Linked DNA regions of Oryzias latipes. The protein of the gene in region 3 interacts with the protein of the main gene of each other region in a pairwise test. Links are inferred from orthologs where the notes say so. Each region holds a gene or a part of one and is shown on either strand. Other genes may lie near its edges. The genes, in order: coil, rpap1 and polr2l.

Evidence for each region.
Region 1: the proteins of polr2l (region 3) and coil interact in binary tests that used the Homo sapiens proteins (3 or more experiments, as listed by UniProt). The two-hybrid records come from large-scale screens. The link is inferred for Oryzias latipes from reciprocal best matches to the Homo sapiens genes POLR2L and COIL.
Region 2: the proteins of polr2l (region 3) and rpap1 interact in binary tests that used the Homo sapiens proteins (3 or more experiments, as listed by UniProt). The link is inferred for Oryzias latipes from reciprocal best matches to the Homo sapiens genes POLR2L and RPAP1.

What each region holds. Positions count from the first base shown.
Region 1 is NC_019866.2:24,976,228-24,984,390, forward strand, and holds the start of coil (coilin), read left to right. Parts: upstream 1-3,712; 5' UTR 3,713-3,852; coding exon 3,853-4,103; intron 4,104-5,345; coding exon 5,346-6,186; intron 6,187-6,259; coding exon 6,260-6,349; intron 6,350-8,163. Other genes in the region: scpep1 (retinoid-inducible serine carboxypeptidase), read right to left, coding at 87-159, 350-424, 550-705, 903-992, 2,596-2,726, 2,907-2,964. UniProt on the Homo sapiens protein: Component of nuclear coiled bodies, also known as Cajal bodies or CBs, which are involved in the modification and assembly of nucleoplasmic snRNPs.
Region 2 is NC_019880.2:11,593,215-11,601,277, forward strand, and holds part of rpap1 (RNA polymerase II-associated protein 1), read left to right. Parts: intron 1-4,171; coding exon 4,172-4,329; intron 4,330-4,442; coding exon 4,443-4,613; intron 4,614-4,687; coding exon 4,688-4,883; intron 4,884-4,987; coding exon 4,988-5,097; intron 5,098-5,177; coding exon 5,178-5,373; intron 5,374-5,947; coding exon 5,948-6,094; intron 6,095-6,201; coding exon 6,202-6,344; intron 6,345-6,429; coding exon 6,430-6,862; intron 6,863-8,063. UniProt on the Homo sapiens protein: Forms an interface between the RNA polymerase II enzyme and chaperone/scaffolding protein, suggesting that it is required to connect RNA polymerase II to regulators of protein complex formation.
Region 3 is NC_019861.2:18,858,871-18,866,017, forward strand, and holds polr2l (DNA-directed RNA polymerases I, II, and III subunit RPABC5), read right to left. Parts: upstream 3,610-7,147; 5' UTR 3,478-3,609; intron 3,037-3,477; exon of another isoform or gene 3,019-3,036; 5' UTR 3,010-3,018; coding exon 2,915-3,009; intron 2,634-2,914; coding exon 2,522-2,633; 3' UTR 2,383-2,521; downstream 1-2,382. Other genes in the region: cpsf7 (cleavage and polyadenylation specificity factor subunit 7), read left to right, coding at 729-873, 985-1,204; uncharacterized protein LOC101163646, read right to left, coding at 6,577-6,920. UniProt on the Homo sapiens protein: DNA-dependent RNA polymerase catalyzes the transcription of DNA into RNA using the four ribonucleoside triphosphates as substrates.

The DNA.
Region 1 (8,163 bases), on a different chromosome or scaffold from region 3:
ACCTTTTCCATCACAGTGGCTCTTTAGGAAAAATGGCTTAAAAACCACCCTCAGTGTTTCCTGCTTGAACAGAACCGGATACTGACCCAGCGGTGAAATCCACGAGTCTCCCAGAGCCACACCGGCAAAGCTGCATTTGACCGACCCCTGAGCCACAGCCTGAGGAGGCAGGAGAGACGCAGATCAGACACAGAGCAGCTGCCAGACGGATCTGGAGTGAGAATGAAGTCTGAGGGACTTTACAGTAAGGAAAACACACGGACACGATGTTGGTACCAGACATGGAGGGCTTAAAAACAGCAGCAGACCGCCGCCACCACAGCAGCAGCAGCAGCAGCAGATCACTCACCTTTGTGAGCTCCAAGGAGATGGCAGCGGCCATCTTCCCTCCATACGACTCAGAGAAGATGTAGAAGGGGATGCTCTGTGGAGACCAAAAGAGTCTCTGATCATCCTGAGATCTACTTAGATCGCTTACAGAAAAAACTGCTGCCAGAACCCATGAGCCCCTTTTTGGTGGTTTAGACGTGTGAAAGGCAGCTGTGGAACCTGGAACTCGGGCCGCTCCGTGAAGAAGTTCTGGAGCAGCACCAGCATGTCCGAGGCCACCATGGACACGTCTGTGGCGAAGCCGTCGGCCCGGTCCACGAAGCTGAAGCCGGTGCCCACGGGGTTGTCCACAAAGAGCACGCTGGCCGCCTTCACCTGCAGGGGAAACAGGTGTGAAAAACCTCCTCCTGACAGCGGCCTCAGGTCTGTGGTCCAGACTCTGGTTCTGTTCCATGATTTCCCAGCAGCCCCACACAGGACCAAGGAAACGCTGAGCTCACAGACACGTCCGCCAATCACAACGGCTCCACTGTGGCTCCAACTGTTTCCCTCCAGAAGAAAAACCTTCTCACCCAACTGGTGCTTCTGGGCTGTAGATCCCGATCCAAGGGCCCGATTTCCTCAAAGTTTCCAAATCCGCTTCCAGACCCCCCGGGTCCACCCTGAGAACGGCAGAGTTTGCTGTTAGACCTAAAAAAAACTTATCATTTCTTTCCAAATGTGCTGTTTCGTGTAGGAAAAACATGACCAAAAAAAGATGCGATTGCAGCAGATGGTGACCTCTGTGACCCCTCTGACCTCTGTGACCCCTGTGACCTCTGCTTTATGCTCTTTGTCCTTAATGGCTCAACAGAAAAGATGAATCTAAAGCTGCTGAAATGAATCTGCATCAAAACCAACCAGATTCACCAATCTGTGGACACATGAGACCAACTGTCAGGCACGGTGGTGGAGGGCTGATAATGTGGGCTTCTCTCAGGCCTCTTCTGCCCAGCAGATTTTTCCCGCAGCGTTCTACACTTCAACCGTAAAAACTGTCAGGGTTTGGTTTTAGATCTGAAATTTTCCGTTCACACAAAACAACAACAACTGTACAAAGTCGATGCTACATCATGAAAAGGTCGGCATCAAAGCGGGGAAAGGTCAAACTGAACTCGTTTTCATTTCTCAACCCCTCCCAGGCCTGACGGTGAAGGACAGCAGCGTCTCATGCCGACTTACACCCCCCTTCATGTCTGCTGAGGTTTCCACCAGAACCTCCATTCTGATTGGCTGCAGGATGCCCATTAAAAAGTGATAATGGACGCCTGAAAAAGTAGTTCCGGTCACACGGCCTAAATGTTGTGTATCCCTTCGCTGGTTTCTTCTAAAAACAACCTTTATCTTTCATACTATCATCTGGACTAAAAGGAGCGGTAAGAGGAGAACTTTCTCTCAAAGCTGATGCTTTATTTAACCTGCTCTAGAGCGAGGTCAGTAGCCGTTACCATGACAACGCATGGCATAGAGTCTGGTGGTTTATTTGGGTGAAAAAACAAAACAACAAGATACTAATAATTGAATTCCTATTTATCTTTTTCATTGGTGACTTTGGTATAAGCGGGATAATGCCTGACAGGGGGGTTGGTTATCAGAACCGTCGGACGGTTCTGCAGAGTCCACTCATTTCCCTTAGTTATACCATAGTCCACCTCCGCTGGACTTGTCCGTGTCGGTCCTCCTCCCTGAAGAGGGACGGAACCGTTTTGCTGAAGCAGCTCTATGAATCATTCACAGCAGAACGGACCGACTCCACTCAGGAACTCACTTCCTGGTTTTCTTCACAGACATTCATATTCTCTTTTTCTTATCCTTTTTTTAACCTCTTCTGTCTCCTCTGATGCTTTAGGGAGGAAAACGGAGGACATCAGGGGGATTTTTGACAGCTTCTCATTTTGAGGAAGTTGGAGATTTTGTGTCACTTAAATAAAAATAGGTTTTCCTGTAACGTGACTGAGTCATTCAGTCATCGGATCACCTTTTTAGGGTTTTTTTCGCCTTCCAGCAGAAGTCAGACTGCAGAACCTGGACAATAGATCCTCCATGGATTCTACTTTTCTCTATTTTAGTTCATGCACTTCCTTGTAGATTCAAAGTGCTGATGGAAATGTTTCCCTCCTCTCATCTTCATCACCAGCAGAACAGCTTCAGCCCACAGATCAAGACCCTTGAGCTCAGGTCATCTCTGCTCGTGTCAGCTTCAGACACGCACGCACACGCACGCACCTGCAGCCACATGACCAGCGGGAGCTCCCGGAACCCAGCGTCGGCGTGATAGAGCCACCAGAACATGTGGGCCCCGTCCCTCACCTCCACGTAGTTCCACGCCTCTTTGGGTGGCGGGGGCGCGCACAGCCCTGCGGACAGACAGGTGAGAAGCAAATACCCTGACGAGCATGCGCACACCGACAGAAACCGAGGTTACTTTCGTTTGACAGTCATCGGATTTACTGAAGCGAGGACAAGTCCAGAGATGAAAGGATCTGGAGGCGGGAGAAGAAGTGATGAAGAAGTTCTGCTCGACCCACGGAACTCACCATCACGGACGAGCACAGCGGACGCGCAGAGCCAGAAAAGCACCACGGAGCCGCACATTTTTGCTGCAAACTGGCGGAGAGGGACTTCACCGATGACGAGTCACGTGACCAAAAGTCACATGACCACGCCCAGGAGTCAGCTGATCGGCTGACTCCGATTTTTTGAGTTTTTTAAAAACAAGAAAACAGACAGAAAAAAAGAAGATCCTAAGTTTCTGAAACATCAAAATTTTAAAAGAATTTTTCTCATTGTGAGATTTTTTTTTTCATTCCAAAATTCCCCGAAGGTCACTGAGGTCACGGACCATGGTTTCCACGGCAACCATCTGCAGTCAGTTATCCATCACCTAGTGCTGTAAAGTGTCTCTGTCTGTCTACATTGTGCTAACAGTAAGGTTTGGTGGTGGGAGGATCATGGTGTGGGTTTATGTATAGTTTCAGAAGCTAGGCTTAAGGCTTGGCTCCTTACTTTCAGTGAAAATAACTCTTTGTGCTTCATCAATCCAAAACCCCTTGGACAATTCCACTATCACAAGAGTCTGAACAAAGGAGGGACCAAATGTTTTCAAACAGCATTTTAGAAATCTGCGCCTGATTTGCCACGATTGAATCCTGGTGATCCTCATGATGCCCTCCATCATGAGAGAAAGGCTAAAAGAACATGCTAAAAAAACAACAACACGATTTTATCCTGAGTGGGTCTTTGACCTGGATGAAGAATTATTGAGATCCAGGCCTCCTTGTCCAAACTCTGAACAGAACAGTTAAAAATCCTTGTAAATCTCCCTAAAGAGCCCCGTGAATTATTATGGGATGCTGTTTTAATTTTAAACGAGTGAAAAGGCAGATGGGATACACTCCGGACCGGCAGAGGGCAGTGTCGTGACAAAAGCAGCGCTTTATCCTCTGCGCATGCGCGGGGCGGCGTGTTGTCGCGGAGGGTGTCATGGCGGCGCTCGGAGACAGCTTGATCCGCCTGCGGCTGCTCTTTGACTACCCCCCTCCGGCCGTGGCGGGGTGCCGCATGTGCTGGCTGCTCGTGGACCGGAACGCGTGTCGCGTGGTGGCGGACCTGGAGGGTCTGATCCGGCAGAAGTTCGAGTTCAGCCGCGGGAGCGTCCTCAGCCTGTTCGTGGAGGACTGCTACCTTCCGCACACGGAGAGCATCTTCGTCGTGCGCGACAACGACAGCGTCAGGTGCGCGCGCATCCCACACACAGCGGGGTCCTGATGTGCCGGTGTCGTTTCCGAAACGGTTCGAGCCTGCAGGCTGACACCACAGATATCCGGACCTGAAGGACTTAAGGCCCAATCCGATCATTTTAGTCTGTTTTCAAAGTGTTCCCAGTGATCTTAATGTTTTTAGACAAATTATTTCAAAAAGTTCATCAGAAATTCACCTCTGACTTGTGGGCGGGACTGTGGCGCAGAAGTAACCCTCCACTGATGTCCCATCATCCCCTAGTTTACACTCTCTCCCACTAGCTTACAGCCCCAACCCAACGTTAGCGGTGCAACCAAAACAGCAGCAACATCAGATCCATCCGTCCGTCCAGTTCTGACCCAGATTCCAGCTCAGACCAGGAAAACAAAGACCTTCATGGATCTGTCGGTCTGCAGGTGGAGGATCAGAACCATTGACTGAATATGAGAACTGGACTGAGTGGCCCCGCCCCCTGGCATTCCAAACAGGAAGTGGCTCTCAGAAACTAAAATCCCACAGACTTGAGAAATAAACAGCTGTTAGTCATTCATTCTATTGGTCAGTAAAAACATTCTGGATCTGATACTTTTATTTAAACATGTTTTTGTTAATCCTCTTTTATTCATGATATATTTTTCTGTAAATCAAGTTCTAAACTGACCAATCAGATGCTTCAACAAAGGTAGGCGGAGCCTCCTTGCCACCCACATCAAATGGTCAAAACATTTGATTGACACGTTTTCCAGAGCCCGCTCTCAAGTGGAAGGGGTGTGGACCTCTAACAAGCTCACTCCTGATTGGTGATACTGGTTGCCATAGAAACATTGACTCGGACTGACCAATCACTGCTTCTTGATGTTGTCTGGCTCCAACATGGCGGTGTTCGTTTAGCAACAACAAGAATGGGGACTGCACTGACTTCATTTGGTTGGAGCTGGAAGTCGTTTTCAATGGATGACGTCACACTGGCTCGGTCCAATTCTAAAGAATCAGTCAATGGTTCTAATGGGCCTTGGTTGATCAAGATGCAGTTTGGGGAAATGTACACACAGACACCACGGAGGCCATTTTTCTATTACTGCCTGAGGCCTGTGCGGTCTGAGATGAAGCTCGAGCCTTTCTTCTTCCTCTGACTATGAACGCTCTCTTCAGCGTGGGTTTGGGGGGGGGGGTTTACATTGTAGAACGGGTCGGTTCTGGATGCGTTTCATGCAGAAATGTTTCTTGTTCTGCAGGGTGAATGTGGACTGTGTGGCTGCGCTGAACGGCTGCAGCAGCTGCGCAGACGCAGAAGGAGTCAAAAGCAAAAAGAGACGGAGAGACGGGGGGGAGGAGGGGCAGCTGGCTGAAAACAAGAAGAAGAAGAAGAAGAAGAAGAAGAAGAAACGAGAGGAGGGGGAGGCCGGAAGGAGCAAGCAGGAGACGGTTGACAGGAGGGAGGCGTCTCCGGGGAGGAGCAGCAAGAAGAAAAGGAAAAAGGAGGGGGAGAAAAGTAACACTGTTGCTCCTACACCTGCTGCCCCCCCCAGAAAAAACCCGCCCAGTGCCCCCCCATCAGCTGGAAGCAACAAGAAGAAGGCCCCAGCCAAAACGCAGAGTTCCTCCACAGAGTCCAGCAGCGAGGAAAGCAACTGCCCCAAAAGAACTGCCGCAAGGACGGCGCCCCCCACCCCTGCTGCTTCCAAAACGCCCCCAAACACCAAGCCCCCCCAGAAGAACACACGGCCTCCCTCTTCATCGTCCTCAGAAACAGACTCTGATGGAAGTACCCCCACCCCCAAATGCCCAGAAGCTCCGTCAGCGCTGAAACAGACAGATGTGGTCCAGGCAGCCCCCCCTCAGGACAAAGGGGCGGAGCCTGCTGATGCTGGGAGTGAGGAAGAGATCCAGCTGGTCATCCGACGGCCGCAGCAGCCTAACAGACACGCGGACGGCCTCTGGTCACGGCGCGGCGGCGGCAGGGGGGCGCGTGGAGGTGCTGGGGGGGCAGCAGGCCGGGGCCTCAGCGGTCAGAACAGTGACAAAGAGCCCCCCCTCCAGGCGCGTTCCCCGACCAACACGCCACCGCTCCTCCAGGTCAGTCCCCGCCCCTTTTCTCTTACGCTGCAGACGGAGGAAACGTCTGAATCTGGTGCTTGTGTGTCTGCAGAATGGAGCCGGGGGCCCCCCCACACGGGACTACAGCTCCATGCCCCTGCTGGCCGCTCCTGCACAGCCGGGGCAAAGGATCGCTTTCAAGGTGAGGTCCGTCCTCCAACGTCACAAACATCTGACTGCTGAGGGGCTCCGCTTGGATTTAGAAACATCCCAAACAAAAGTTTAAACCTCAAACGTCCAGAAATCTGACAACTGATGACAGAATTTACCAGAGTGGAGAACAGCAGCTCCAGCTTCAGCTGCTCCAGCTTCAGCTGCTCCAGCTTCTGCTGCTCCAGCTGCTGCTGCTCCAGCTTCAGCTGCTCCAGCTGCTGCTGCTCCAGCTTCAGCTGCTCCAGCTGCTGCTGCTCCAGCTGCTGCTGCTCCAGCTTCAGCTGCTTAAGGTCTAGCTGCTCCAGCTTCAGCTGCTCCAGCTGCTGCTGCTCCAGCTTCAGCTGCTTAAGCTCTAGCTGCTCCAGCTGCTGCTGCTCCAGCTTCAGCTGCTCCAGCTGCTGCTGCTCCAGCTGCTGCTGCTCCAGCTTCAGCTGCTCCAGCTTCAGCTGCTCCAGCTGCTGCTGCTCCAGCTTCAGCTGCTTAAGCTCTAGCTGCTCCAGCTTCAGCTGCTCCAGCTGCTGCTGCTCCAGCTTCAGCTGCTTAAGCTCTAGCTGCTCCAGCTGCTGCTGCTCCAGCTTCAGCTGCTCCAGCTTCAGCTGCTCCAGCTTCTGCTGCTCCAGCTGCTGCTGCTCCAGCTTCAGCTGCTCCAGCTGCTGCTCCAGCTTCAGCTGCTCCAGCTGCTGCTGCTCCAGCTTCAGCTGCTCAAGCTTCAGCTGCTCCAGCTGCTGCTGCTCCAGCTTCAGCTGCTCAAGCTCTAGCTGCTCCAGCTGCTGCTGCTCCAGCTTCAGCTGCTTAAGCTCTAGCTGCTCCAGCTGCTGCTGCTCCAGCGTCAGCTGCTCCAGCTTCAGCTGCTCCAGCTGCTGCTGCTCCAGCTGCTGCTGCTCCAGCTTCAGCTGCTCCAGCTTCAGCTGCTCCAGCTTCTGCTGCTCCAGCTGCTGCTGCTCCAGCTTCAGCTGCTCCAGCTGCTGCTGCTCCAGCTTCAGCTGCCTCCAGCTTCAGCTGCTCCAGCTGCTGCTCCAGCTTCAGCTGCTCCAGCTGCTGCTGCTCCAGCTTCAGCTGCTCAAGCTTCAGCTGCTCCAGCTGCTGCTGCTCCAGCTTCAGCTGCTCAAGCTCTAGCTGCTCCAGCTTCAGCTGCTCAAGCTCTAGCTGCTCCAGCTTCAGCTGCTCCAGCTGCTGCTGCTTCAGCTGCTCCAGCTGCTGCTGCTCCAGCTTCTGCTGCTCCAGCTTCAGCTGCTCCAGCTGCTGCTGCTTCAGCTGCTCCAGCTGCTGCTGCTCCAGCTTCTGCTGCTCCAGCTTCTGCTGCTCCAGCTTCTGCTGCTCCAGCTGCTCCTGCTCCAGCTTCTGCTGCTCCAGCTTCAGCTGCCTCCAGTTTCAGCTGCTCCAGCTTCTGCTGCTCCAGCTTCTGCTGCTCCAGTTGCTGCTCCAGCTTAAGCTGCTCCAGCTGCTGCTCCAGCTTCAGCTGCTCCAGCTGCTGCTCCAGCTTCAGCTGCTCCAGCTGCTGCTGCTCCAGCTTCAGCTGCTCAAGCTTCAGCTGCTCCAGCTGCTGCTGCTCCAGCTTCTGCTGCTCCAGCTGCTGCTCCAGCTTCAGCTGCTCCAGCTGCTGCTGCTCCAGCTTCAGCTGCTCAAGCTCTAGCTGCTCCAGCTTCAGCTGCTCCAGCTGCTGCTGCTTCAGCTGCTCCAGCTGCTGCTGCTCCAGCTTCAGCTGCTCCAGCTGCTGCTGCTCCAGCTTCAGCTGCTCCAGCTGCTGCTGCTCCAGCTTCAGCTGCTCCAGCTGCTGCTGCTCCAGCTGCTGCTGCTCCAGCT
Region 2 (8,063 bases), on a different chromosome or scaffold from region 3:
AAAAAGCAGTTAAAGGGTTAAAACAATTACAAAGTAAAGTAGTGCAAAATAAAAATATATAATATAGTAAAATAATGACAGACAAAAAGCAGAGGTTAAATAAAAAAATACCAGCAGACAACCATCAGTTTAGATTATTACCATAAGTGTTCCTTCATTTCTTTTAAGTCTCAATCTTTTAATATTAAAGCATATTAATATGCTTTAATATGCTTTTTCCCAGTGGTCTTTTAGTGATGTTTATGCCGTTTTTAGGCTAAATCTAAAATCCTGTGTTGTTTTCTAGGACAAAGTTTCTGCAGAGCGGCAATAGTTCATTGGAAATTGCCCTCTGAGTTGTGGGTGGGACTGTTGGCATTGAGTAAGCTCGCCCTTTGTTGCTGTTGATTTGATTAAAAAAAAACTCAGAAAAATACATTTAAGATTAATTTTCTTTATAATGACACAACGATGACACAATGATTAAAGACTCACTCTGGAAGAGTTGGATAAATGCATAATCTGGTGGAGGTGAAAGTTTAGTTTCTATTGAGGCCAGAACAGGTGGATCGAGTTTAAACTGACACACTAAAGACTTATGGCACCAAATCTTGAATATATACCTGTGCCATCAATGGAAGAACTTGGACTTGTATTATGCTCAGGAAGTCAGTTACTGTAGATTTGTTTTCCTTTTTTCTGAAAAATCACATTAAAGATGTGATTTAAGAAGCTAGTCTGGATCAGAACTTTGTTCCAACTCCCCCTTACCCGGGCCTCTGGGAAACATACACATTTATTCATAACATTTATAACAACAATCACTACAGATATAATTTAATTAACTCTAGGAACAGAACGTTCTTTAAAAGGGTTTATGCTGCATCAAATATTTAATATTAATAAACCATAAATATCTATTTATGTTTTTTTTCTTTGTTCTACCACAGATTTTCTCCTCTGACAAGTTTTTACATTTATTTTAAAGTTTCTTACTCCAGTTGCCTTTAAAAATGATAGTTGATTATTTAAATTGTTTTTATTTTAGTCATGCTTTGGGCAACTTTTAATCCAGCTGAAGCATTTTCGGATCTTAGATAAAGAACTTTACTCATGGCTTTTTATATTTGTGAACAATAGTATGATAAGGTCATAAACAAGTTGGCTGCTCAAACATATTAACTAAAATATGTTTTTCAAGAGGTTTTTGCTTTTTAAGATGAATTATTTACGTGAAATTCATCCATTTTTTGGTTCTGGTGCAGGTGGAGTCCAGAGATGAGGGGAAGTGGCACTTTAGTCAAATTTGCACAGTTAAAGCTTCATTTAAAGTAAAGTACAAAATATCAGACAGGAAACTTCATGTTCTCATTTGTTTTTCAGTTTTCATGTCAAATAGAATTAAATCTCCTATATGGTTATATTGGATTAAGTCTATACTTAAAATTATATACAATTCTGAACTTTCAAAGTGAAGATTACAAAGGTCCCTAAAGTTTCTGCAGGAAGGAAGTGGAAGCCCAAAGGAGGCGGAGCTACAGCTTCAGGCAGCATTGATGCACAGGTGCTGCATGAATGTGGCGGCTTTGGTTTCAGTCTGTCTCAGCAGTTGCAGAGCAGCTGTGGCTGATAGCAGAAGGCTGGTTGTTAATAAATCAAAGCTCAAGAGGAAGGTGCAACATGTGCAAAAGCAGTTTCTCTGATGACACGAGGAAGAGAAAGAAACGAAATGGGAGATGCAGGCAGGTAGAGATCCATCATGTTTATTGTGTTCAGGGAAAACTTCACCTCCACATATTCTCACAGATTGTAAATAGAAAAAAATGCAGCAATATGGGAAAAAAGCAGACGTTTGTTCATCAAAGAGATAAGTGCAGCACACTAGCAGGCTGTTGGGTAAACTATTCTAGATGAAAAACCGATATGTGAGAGTTGGATTTGGGAAGCCAGCTTATAGTTTTTTAGAATATTGCCTGCACAAACAAGACGAGATGAGAATTTTGTAGTCTGTACATTTCATAAAGCTCACAGTTCCCTGGGACAACTCTAGAAATGACCTACCACAGGAATAAACTTCAAGGCAGAGTCTGCTGCAGAAGCAGAGGAACACAAACGGAGAGCTGAGATTGGCTATAAAGTTTTTTTTGGAAAGTGAGTTTACGCTCTGCTCACAGAGCTGTGTGTTATCACTATGATTTGGTTGCCTTGCTATTCAAACCTGTGCTTATGAGGGGTGTAACGTTTCATTGATTCAACGATTTCTTTTCCTACAATCCAACCAGATCGATCTGTCTGAAGCAGATCGAAAAGACCTAAATCCTTATTGAATATATACAAAATGAGATAAATTAATTAAACGTTAGGTTTATTTAACAGTGATGAAAGTCTTCCGGGAATTCCCGGAAATCCGGGTTTTTGAGCAAACCGAACGTACTTTCCGGGAAATAAAGACCTGATCTCTACGGACAAATCGCTTTCCGGATTAAAAAATGGTCTGAAATCAGCTAATTTTAGCTTTATTTTCTATATTTCTCCGCAGATCGCTTCCTCTATGGTCGTGGCCATCTCTCGTCTTCCGGGCCTAATTGACCAATGACGGGACGTTTTAGTTGCTTTCGGATGCGTCGATGGGTCTGATTGGCTCTGTCTGCACCACGTGGTCAGCGTGACTTGCTTCCCTAGAGACCAAAACTGGCGGACCCACGCTAAACTTTCACAAACACATCTGAAGAGTTTGCGATCAAATTTGTGTTAAAATAATGGCAGGCATCGTCATTATTGAGCCTGGTCACGACCTCAGTTGTGAGAAGACGATAAAAAACAAATTGAAGTGGTCTTGGCTGGAAAAAAAAGATTTTTAAGGTAGTGTAGGTCAAATACTTCTTTGTGTAAAATAATCTCAAAACCACATTTTGAAATAATTTCAACTTTAGTTTTGAGTTTCAGTTTTTATTTTGAATACATTTCTTTATCTAATTTATTTGTATTTCCTAATTACCATGATTTAGTTCAGTATAGTTAACATTAATTATAAGTATTTGATGGTTTGGACCCGCACTCCCTTAAAAAATAATGTTTACAATATTTAGTTTATTTTTTATGTTTGTTTTGATATTTCCCAGATTACTTAGTATTGGTGTTAAAGAATTGATGTATTATGTTATAGAATTATAGTTTAAAGCAGATCCCATATTTTGATGTAATTATAGTTTGAGAAAACAGTGCAAGTGGATGTTGTACATCAGTCATTTCTAAAGCAGAAATAATGTATAAATAACTGAGGTATTTTCATAGAATATCATAGTTACTGGTGTTCTTTTTGCCATTTGGGGCTTTGATGTTACTATATTTTAGCAATTGTATGTTTTGCAGCTTTAAGGAAAAGCATAGATTGTAGGATTGTGTTACTTTGAGCAATTTTCCAAATTCTTTTTTGGGACCAGCAAGTCCTTAATGGAGAGTCAAACTAGGGGTTTGAATGACAAATCATGATGCTCCAATTAGTCTTAGTTTCTTGATAAAGAAGTGAATAACTAGCTGCCAGAATGCACCAGAATGCATCTAAGACCACGTATTTTTCCAAAATTTCGCTCTGTGCCCGCCATATCGCTCAAAGAAAAGTTCAGGGATTTTTTCCTTACCTGACTTTCATCACTGTTTAACTATAACATAAAAACGACCAAGTGCATCACAGTAGACAGCACACACGTGACGGCAGGAAAAAATGATCAAGTCATTGATTTTAACAAAGACATGTGGCCACACGGTGTGCTAGAATGTTCTAATAATGTTCCCTTTGGACCATTTGGATGTGGAAGACCAACAGTGGGATGAACTTTAGAAAACTTAGATGTGAATGAATTTAACAGTGATTATTGTGTACTTATCTGTTTTTACACGTATTTAATTTACACATGATTATCTTGCAAGGAATGTGTAAAACCTCCCCTGCACTGTTCAGGACCCAGGTATTTATCTCTGAGTCACACTGGTTGAATTTTTGGCTAAAATTTCCTGGATCGATGTTTGCTGTTTGATTAGCAGCTTATCAGAAGTCTAGACAAATGTGTGACGGCGAGGCCAATCGATGGGTCGAAAGGTTATTCCAAATATTCGAATGACATAACGGACTATTTGTTGCTGCCACATTCACTTTTGTATTTCTCAAAGAGTTTTTAACTCTGTTTCCTAGTTGAACTCTCTGGGTGTGAAGGAGCGTTTGTCGCGTCTGCTGGGCGCTGAGCCCAGCGAGCTGCTGCTGGAACCGTCCGAGGCTCTCAGGGTCACCACTGAGGCCTACAGGTTCTGGGCGGTGGCAGCCGGTTATGGACAGGCATGCCAACTATACATGTAGGTGAAGCACTGAAGGTTACACTGTATACCAAAGAAAACACCTTAAAAGTAGTTTTGTGGTTAATGTTCTGTTAAATCACCTGTGATTTCACATTTGTTTTTTCTTGAAGAGACTTGTACTCTGCTTTACTGAAGTCACTCCAGTCTGGGCATCGCTTAGCGCCGCCCTCACACGCTCTCCAGCCTCTGCAGCTGCAGCGGCTCTCGGCTTTGCTTTCTCTGCTCACACAGGTCACACACGCAGCCGGCTGCCATCAGGAGTTGCAGGCTGGCGTCCTCAGGTACCTGCAGGATGATGACTCTGTTCTGGTTTGAAGCCTTCGTCTACATGAGGCTTTGTCTGTGTTCATCGCAGCGCTCAGGGGGAGGAGTGCCCTCCTCCGCCTCCTGTTTCCTGGGGTCACGTCTCGGGCTTGCAGGCATCCCTGTTGGGGCATCTGAAGGGTCTTGTCAAAAGCCTTGATAGTCCAGTTCAGGCAGATAGCAGCTTGACCCTGATACCAGCTTATCTGGTCTATCTCCAAGCGTACTACCAACAGCTCTCCAGACAGGTACTCCGTTCTGTCTTCTATCTGCAGAGCAATCGAGGTATTTCAAGTTTGAAGTAAAAACAAACAAATAATTTTATATTTTTCTTTTAATGCATATACAACAGACCTTTTTCAAACCAGTGGAGACTCTTCAGGAGCTGGAGCTTCTGACCTCCGATGTTCTTCTTCCACTTCTGTGTCACAGTGTTGTGCAAGGTCTGATGAACAACCTGAGGTACTTCTGATAACTCTGCTGCTCTTTTCTCTCAAAATGTACATTTTAAGGCTGTTTATTTTCATTTTCATCTTGTTTAGATCCTCTTCTTTGGTTTGCAACGTTCAGTCCCACCATCCGGGTCCAGAGACGACCTCGAATCTTCCAGGTTTAGCCTGCGCAGGATGGAAGGAACGTTCTGGGCTTGTTGTTCCCAGCTCCCCTTTTGCTCTTGTGATCGGATTGGGATCCCTCTTGGAAACAATCACAGGGATCCATAGAGGTCTCAGCAGCAAGGTGGAGTTTAACACATTATTATAACCCATTAATGTGGCATTACATTCAAAACATGTAGTGAAATTGTTACAAAGGTGTTGCCCTCTGGTGGTGAATAACAAAAACCTCTCATATCTGAGGTGTTGGGGTTGAGAGGACATTAGTTGTAGAATTCTTAAAACTTTAGCACTGCTTTTAAATAAATCATTTTATTAAATATTTTTTAAGTAATACAAAAATCTAATATTTTTCATATTTTATGAATAAATGAAAACAAGTAAAATGAATAAAAAATGAATTCCAGTTTTCTTTCTTTTTTTAAAGGGAGTTATCCATTATGTAAGCAAAGGGAAATCCTTTTTTACTATTTGTTAAATAATTTATTTCTTGGTAAGAATAGAGCAGTCTATGACAGTTTTTGTTTGTTGTACTTTGGATGACAGTCTCATAAAAAGTAGTAAAAAGTTGTTCTTTTTTTGTAAATGGTTACATTTTATATGAATTTTTTCATCTGTCCCTAAAGTTTTCTATTAAGGCCTATTTGGAGTGCTTTTCTTTAATCCTTAAATGCCTGAATTTCTTTCCTTCTTTCTAGTTCTCGAGCTTCCTCCTGTCAGAGCCTGTGATTGGTTACCTGCAGGCCTGCAGTAAGTCCACGCCCACTCTGTCTGTGTCCAGGGCTTGGCTCCTTCGTCACGAACACCTCCTCCTGTACCTGCTGCTGCGGATGGCTCACAGGCTGGTGGGTGTGGATCTACTTTGAGTTGTGGGGTAGATATTTGTCATTTTGAAAGAGCTGCATTGTTTCATTTTTCTTCCGTTTCCTTTTCTTTTTTAAACATTTCTCAGGTTCCTGTCGATGTAGAGGTGGCGAAACAGGCCTCACTTTATCACCAGGTGGCACTGGTGCTTCTTCCCTGGTTATTACCAGGCAGTGAATACTTGGCACATGAACTGCTGTCTACTGTTATATTCAACAAGGACTTTATATCGTAAGAAAAACTATTTCCTCTGGATAATTACACCTTTATTGTCTGATAGTTAGTCTAAGTTTTTGTTGTTTGTTTTTCTGTTAAGAGAGGGACACAGTGGAGGTCCAGAGGCTGTGGAGCTCGGGGAGCTAAAGCTTCACGACGACGTCAGACTCCACCCATCTCCATCTCTACAGACTGTTGGCGCTCTCCTCAGAGAAGCCTGCGTTCAGCTGCCGTCTATACGGGGCTGCTTCCTCACTCATCTCGCCTATCTGGAACCGTCTGTGATCGCGTCCCGAAAAGCCCTGCTTGGACGCAACCCGTGGATCAGTTCCCACCTCCTCCCGGAGGTCACGGGGCCCACCCTGCCATCTGACTGGCCGTTCCTCCCCCTCATCAAACTGTACGAGCAGACAGGAGTGTCTGGCGGCGGGGGGCTGGCTGTAGAGGAGCTTCCAGCGGGGGCTCTACAGGCGGCTGTCCACTGTTTGCAGTGGCTACTGCTGCTGGAGGTTTGGAGGGAGGAGTCCTTAAAGGTACAAAATCGAAGAATGCACTCATTTATTATCTGCCCTCAAGATTTACTGGTTTTTAATTCTTATTGAAAATATGAAAAGTCATTAGTCAAATTTGTCACCTTGTTTTAGCACACTGTCATTCAGTTTTAATGGGCCGTGCAAAATCCGTTTTTTTTAAATTTTAAGTTTATCATAATGTTCATTCCTCACAAAAAGAAACCCCAAAGGTGGTATTTTGATCCATGCACACATTTCTGACTATTCTTCTAAAATCCTGCGCTCTGAGCACCAGCCCCTCCCAACCCACAAAAACGAGCGGGTTCTCAGGAGCTGAGGTAGATGAATGAAAAACGGCGCTTTCCAGGAAGATTCTGCGCTGTACGCCCCGCCCCCAGGCTAACCCCCCCCCCCCACATTCTCCGCAGAGCTAGCTGTGATCAGCTAAAATGCCTTTATAAGGCTTCACAATATGCACATCCATCTTTGCAAAAGTCTGGCTGTTTGTTTTTGTGGGTGAAACACCCCCATAACTGCCAAGTGATGGGGGTGTGGACTTCCAACAAGCTCACTCCTGGTTGGCGAGAGTGGTTGCCATAGAAACGTTGACTCAGACCGACTCAGACAAATCCCACCTTGCTGACGTCGTCTGGGAAGAAGATGGCCACTGAATTGACGTCATTTAGCTTGAACCCAAAGTAAGCCATTTATATTAGGGTGAGTTTACACTCACTCGGTCCAGTTCTCTCAGACAGTCAGTGTTCAGAAAACCAGGTGTGGATGGGAAACGGAGATGGTTGACTTTTAATCTAAAATGTTTAGTAGAAACTACATCCTGTTACCTATCAGTTTAAAGAACTTTGTGGATCTTAAAGTGTGTGTTGAACACTTTAACACAAAAAGAATTATTTTTCAGCAGACTCCTGACTTTGAAAGGCTTTTCTCTGGAGGGAAGAAAAACTGCATCCACTGCTGCCTTGATTAAATTCTCTGATATCTTGACAATTCCAAGTGTTTACGTCTCTCCAGCTAGGCACACAGACACGTTTCAAAAAAGATGATGGGACAACTCATCCTGCTGTGTGCTATACTGCCCCCTTATGGCGTTCTCGGCTTACCACAGTCACCTGGCAGGAATGCGCCACATCAAAATGATGATTTCAGGGAGAACGCACTGCTGTAAATCACATTATGGAGTAAACAGTTTGCTTTGCCTGTAATG
Region 3 (7,147 bases):
TAGAGACTGTTGAGTAGCTGAATATCACTATAAAATATTTATGATATTGTTTTAGCTTTTGCTGAGAGTGCAGTGTTTAGTAAATCCAAAACAGAGAGCTGACATAAAGGAAATTATTGATATAAGGCTTTTTGATGTTGAATTTTTTTATTACGATGTGGTATATTGCCTCTCTGCAGATCATCTGTTGTTCTTCCAGGCTAGATGGAGAGCATCTTTAAATCTCACTTTTACAAAAAATGTTTCCCCTGACATGGTCAAGAAAACAAAGAGATTTATCTCTGAGACATGTATAGTCTTGCTAGTGGGCTCACAAACTTTATGAGCCCTCTCAGTCTGACTCTTTGGCTCTAATAACCAATCTGCCTCAGCTTTCTGTAGCTGGGTTCTGTTGCTATAGTTTTTACTTTACACATGTTAGGCAGCTGGGTGTCAGTGCGGAGGAGCATCGCACAAAATGAAAGAAGTAATATGAAAGTTTGTTTCTGCAACTTCTCATGCCTTCAAAAGAAGTTGGATCCTCTTAAAAGCTAACACTGCATGCCTCACAGTTCAGTCAAGTTTGGTGAAATTGTTAATATTGTGCTTTTCTGTAACTTAAAAAATTCAAAATAGAAAAAAAAAATCTATCTCTTGACAGGATCTTTAAAGAATTTTGCCCACTTCGAGCTTAATGTTACTTAAAATTAGTTTTCTTCTATGTGTTTTCTGTCCAATTGCTACTCCAGGAGATCTACAAATGGCCATGGAAACACTGTTAACCGCCATTGCAGTTATTAAGCAGTCCAGAGTGTACGGAAATGAACGCTGTGAAGCCCTGGTCACCTCCCTTAAAGACTGTTTGGTCTCCATTCAGGGGGATTATGGCTACAGGTGTGTACATTTCTTCATTTGAATGCTTTTGACTCACTTGAAACTAACCATTTAATAACACATTTGCTGTTTAATGAGTTTTATTCCCATTTCAATGGTTTTTCCCTCTAGAAGAAGTAGTCATTCTAGAGAAAAAGAAAGAGGTCGTGACAGAGAGAGGGAGCGGGATAGAGAACGGGAGCGCGACAGAGAGCGGCACAGAGATCGCGACAGAGATTACTTCCATAGCGGGGAAAGTGCGGGAATGTCCCAGAGACGCAGGGAGCGTTCCTGGAGTGAAGAAAGGGACAAGAGGTGGTCTCGAGAACAGCAAAGGGATCGACACCGCTAACGGGGAACGGTAATAAATACATAAGCCATTACTTTATGAATTTTGCACTTCTTTTTTAAGTTTCACTGGAAAATTCTTAGTTCCACATAACTAGTGATGTAAATAACGCTTTTATGCGTGGCCATTTTTGCTTTAATTTGAATAAAATGAGAAAAGTTGGAATTTTATTAAAATAATTCTAACATTAAATTGTTTTTGTCTTTGAAAAAACTGCTTTATAGCAAACAGCACTTATGGATTTCATTTATCAACAACAGCTTCTCAAAGATGAAAATCAGTTTGAAATCGATTAATATTTATTTAAACCCAGAGTTTTTTTCAATACAGCTATTTCAATTGTGACCAGAAAAATGCAGAGGGGAGATTTCAAGTTATTTTAAGTCACGCTTTTATGAGCGTAATTTATAAAAAAAATCAGGAGGCCAATTCACCAGCCACATTCTTTTTTCTATATAATTTAATCAAAACAAATCCACTGTCTGAATTCTGCTCTTTTTGCTGTTTGAAATGGCTTTATTTATCACAACTGAATCTTAGTTACACATCTCAACAGCAGTTGTGCTGTGTGATTGTTAAAAAAAATCTGTAATTTGCTTTGGACCAATTTAAAACTTGAAAGGGCATTATGAGAGTTTGCTTTTTCCAAATGCTCTATTATAAATAAATTGTTGTAAACATTTTAATTGTTGGTAACAAAGTGGCATTGTAATTTGCTGAAAACCTTCTGCACATTCACTATAACTCTTCAAGAGTTAAAGTTCCAACCGCCATGACGATGTTTTGTTCTTGCTTCCCCAGATTGGAGGCAGAGGAGCATTGTTGCGTCGAGTTGTATATAAAAGAATCAAGGATTGTTTGTTCAATCTGAGAACACGGTTTTGTTCTTCCTTTATATAATAGGACTTGTTTTAACAAAAATTGGCTGTAGATTTTTTCTTGTAAAATAAGACTTTGTTTGCATGCACCATAACAATTCTTTCTGTAATCATTGTAATTTCACATTTCTTTTGGTAGAAAATCTACAATTAAAAAAAATCCCAAAGTATTCTCGTCTTATGTGCTCTGCTGTTGAATAGTATAACATTATTTGTTTGCATGTTTTCATAAGTACATAAAGTGAAAGGTTGAGCGATTTAACTCAACGCCTCAAAAATTAGATGGCATCTCAACTCAGTGAATCGAATACTTTAAAGAAAAAACTTTATTTAAATAAAATTTTCATTGCCACATATGTGCACAATACACCAAGTCATTATTGTTGACATTTCTTAAACACTGAATATATGCACAGGCCATGTTCAAAGCATGTTCTTCCAGCTAAAATTTTTCCAGCGGTGCATAATTTAACAATTTCTCAATAAGATCCACATGGGAAAGCAGCATCCTCCGACAGCAGTACCTCTTCAGGCCCAGGGCATCAAGAGCATCACTAGAAAAGGGAAGATGGAAAAGTAATTTTAGTGCCAGATATTGCTTGCATAATTACAGAAAAAAAAAAAAAAAACATTTCTATAGTTAGTTTTAAATGTTGTATCCTCAAATGGTCTGAATTCAAACTAACATCTTGACTGACAGTGAAACAGGAGGAGTAGAGGTTGAATGAAGGCCTTTATTTAGTTTCAGAAAACTTGACCATATAGCATTACGGTGACACATTGTTGAACGAACGAAACATGAAGGTAAAATGAAAATGAAGCGCATCTGTCTCACCCTTCAGTGTATTCGGCCTGAAGAAGACCAAGGTAGGCTTCCCATTTGTTCCCCACGATCTTCCCACAAGTGAAACACCTCACCGGGATAATCATTTCTGGATGCTTGAAGAAGGAGCCAAACTAAGATATTCAATCCACAATAAATAATATAATCAACAATCAAATCAATAATAAAAAAAAATTAAATAAACAAAAACATGCCAATATGAATATGGTCATATCTGAGAAAGGGTAATTATGTTACACATGTTCCTACAACATAATTCCGCTTATGATGCTAGCAAATACTTCTAAAGGAAGGTACCAACACGTTGTTTAGGAACGTCGTAACTAAAATGAACGCAAATATCTTGCGCTACAATTTCTGTAAACGATATAATATAATTAAGTAACTTGTGTTTAAATTACTGAGATTTAAAAAACAAAAAGAAAGGCCAACGCTAGCCGCGTACATGCAGCTAGCCTAGCAGCACGCCGTCGTTCACATGCTTCCCAAACTCGGGTACAAATGAAATAAAAATATTAGTAACATTACGTTAAAAAAGGAAGTTGTTAACTCACCTTTATTGGTCAAGTTTGTCCAACACTTAAACAGCGTTATTTGTAATAATAGTAGAGACAAAGTTTAACCGTTGACGATATAAACATCACAGCTCAAATAACCATTTCCGGTGTAATACAGAGCTTCCGGATGTGATCCTACAAAATAAAACTAATTTAAATAAACCACTAAATTTAGGTAAACAATGCTGTTGAGTTTAACTGCTGTGTGTTCATTTTCTGTATGTAAAACACAACTTTAGGATTTAACAAAAAAATTATTTTATCGCGTAAAAGTATTTGTTACAAAAACTGACGCGTACGATTTGCATTTTTACTATATATATATATATATATATATATATATATATATATATATATATATATATATATATATATATATATATATATTTTTTTTTTTTTAAAGAAGGTAGCACATTGTCTAAATACAACCTGCATCGGCCCTCAAATATTGAGAAATCTGTTCCTCAAACCAAAATAAAATCACATCTCTCTGGGTGGGTCTGTAATAATACCAGTTAATCCCAGACGACATATGTGTCCAATGATTAAATGCTTTAATTTAAATCACCTACACATTCATGTTCTATGATAAGGAAACAACTACATTTATATGGTATATGTATTCACCAACATTTGTCTATATGCAAATATTACTTTTTGTTATTTGAGGATTTCTCTGCAATAATTTAGAAAACATTCTAATGTTGCCACAGTCATGTGAGTAAAATAAAATAAAAAATCCTTATTTGGGAATTGGCATAAAATGCAAATCCCAAAAAAATCCTCTTTTTCTAATCTTGACTGTAGATCTACAGCTTTCATTTTCAAGTTTAAATATTTTCATTTGGATAGCTTATTAGCCAATACTTTCTGTGAAACTGTTGCTGTTTATTAACTAATCTTTAACTGTCTTTCCTTATTTTCATTTGCAGAAAAAAAAAGTTGTGAACATAAATCAAATGTAAATCTGATCTAAGCCTTAGTCTCATCTAGATTTCTCAACATACCAGTATTCAAAAGTACCGGTACCCAATTCCTTTTTTATATTTGTTGGCAGTCCATGTTAAAACTCTCTTGAACTTACAAGATTCATTCATTCATTCATTTTCTTAACCGTTTTTCCCTTTCGGGGTCACGGGGCTGCCGGAGCCTATCTCGACCACTTGTGGACAGGTCGCCAGTCTGTCACAGGGTAGAACTTACAAGATCATAAATTTAACTGAAACTCACATTTCTACTAATATAATTGCTTTGATAATTCTTGTGCATTTAAAAAAATAATTCAGACTGGTTCACTTCTTTTATTGAGGCTGAAGTTTAAACTCTTCCTTTTTTACATTTAGACATTTGGGGACAAAAGCCGGGCTGCATTATGAAAATCAGTTAAAATATAGAATAATAAAATATCCTTCGTATCATTCTAACAGACACAATGATAACTATCATCATCATTGGCATCATGTATTGTCACCAACATCGCCATCGTCAACACCAAACATTATTACATCATCTATGCAATTTAACTTGCTACAGCACATGTGCTAAATGAATAGTCCTACCTGAATTATTGCATTTATACGCTGTTAAAATTATGAAAATAAGAATTTTTCCTTTTCTTTTTTTGGTACACTATATTGTACAATGTAAGGTGAAATTTACTTTGGTGCTACTATCTTCTTGGACATGGTAGGGGTTGGAAGGGGTGGCTGTGGTGAGTGTTTTATGATAATTTTCTGTCAGAACTGAGCGCAATATCGAAGTTCCTCTACAACTTAAATTATGTGTGTGTTTGTTACCACTGCCTTCCTTCTTCCTGTTTTCATGAAAGCAGAAACTCAAATTTTATAATTCAAGCTAAACAGACATGCTTGTGGAGCTGTACAGGTGATATTTCGGGCAATAAGACTGCATGGGATAGACAACCAGTAGACATGTTTTGGCAACTTGATACTGCAACACTAATGGCTCTTAAGCAACAATGTAAACAGACAGATCTGAGATGGCTGATTGTATTTTGCATGGCATGAAATGTTAATGATTCCTCTTAGCATTTTACAGTAGAGCTTTTCATCTCTTATTTTTGTCTCCTTCAAAATACAATTTAACTTTTTTTCCCCCAAAGTGTACAATAATAGTCCAACAATTAAATACTATCCCTAAAATGCTGCATGCTTCTATGTTTTGTCTTAAAAAAAATAGTATATTGATTTTAATGTACAAATGTTTCTTTTTTGTTTAACCTTTTATGAAATTCAGTCTCTTCTAAACTGCATTCAGAAGTCTAAACTGTAACTGAACTAGATAATTTGGTTCAGGCGTGGTGCACATTATAGCTCACAAACAGCCTAACTATGTTCACTGATATTGGTGTCTGTGACAGAACCGACTTGTCCAAAAAGTAATCAAAAATAATACTAAAATACTTTAAAAGCAAACAGTTCCAAACAGAGATAGGCCAGTTTTTCCATACCAGATGTTTGTCATAAAGTCTGCTTATAGATTAGTAAGTTGTGTAAAAGGGTAGACATTTTTCAAAGTTAAATATGTGCCTTACTAAATCACTGTGCACAACCCTGCCTTTTCTTCTGCCATCTCTGCAGAATGATTTCTGTTTCCTCCTGAAAAAAAAAAATATATATAAAAAAATCCCAGAGCCTGTACAGACTAGAAACATTGAGAAACAAACGAATACAGTATTCATAATCTTTACAAAAATAAACCAAAAATGTTGCAACCATGAGTCCAAGTTAAACATGATAAAGCAGTAAAAGCTGATAAAGCCACATTAGGCCTCTTTTGCTCAACAGTATAGTGTGAGGTTTTTTTCTTCATTTTCTTTTAAGATAATTACATTTCACATGTGGTATAGTGGCAACTTCATGCTTATGCTAAATATTAATATGTACCATACACAGTCTGGATCAAAACTTGAGTGGGTGAATTCACTACCAGTGATAGCAGGCCAAAACAAAATAAAGCGTCTCCCCATCGGTCATTTGCAGTTGAATAGTCTGTGAACCAGTCGTGAAGAACACGCAGAATATTGGACTCTAATAGTGCCCAATAAATACTCCAACTTCATTTCAACATTTAGTTTTAGTTTCTCCTAGCCAGCAGTACTCCCAGCAAGATGGCCCCCACGGCAATGACAGCACCACCAATCAGAAAGGGGGTCAGGTGTTCCAGACAGTTTGTGCCAGAGGCTGCCGTCTCGTCACCTGCTGCTGCTGCTGCTGCTGATTCAGCCTCTGCCGCTCCATCCTGGGAGGCAGGGAGTTTCTCTGCTTCAGGGACTGCAGGTGTTGGTTCGGCTTTGCGGACTGCTGCCGGTTCCTTTTTCTCTGCTTGTGATGCTGCCTTGGGCTTTGGGGCCCCAGGCTTAGTTTTGGCTTCCATGGACACAGGGACTTGAGGTGTGGTCTGGTCAGGAGCAGTCTTCTCTAATGAAAAACAGACAGAATGATTGTCTTCTAAATCCGGGTTAGATATCAAATATGATCGGCTCTGTTGAGGTTTTAGGAATGGATTTTTAAAAAGTGGCTAAATCAGACTGTTGTCTTTGCTTTGCTTCCTAGCTAAGCAAAGACAACAGTCTTTGCTTAGCTAGGAAGCGATGAGGCCTTAAACATGACCTTGGAAAAGGATGACATTGACAGTGCTCATGCAA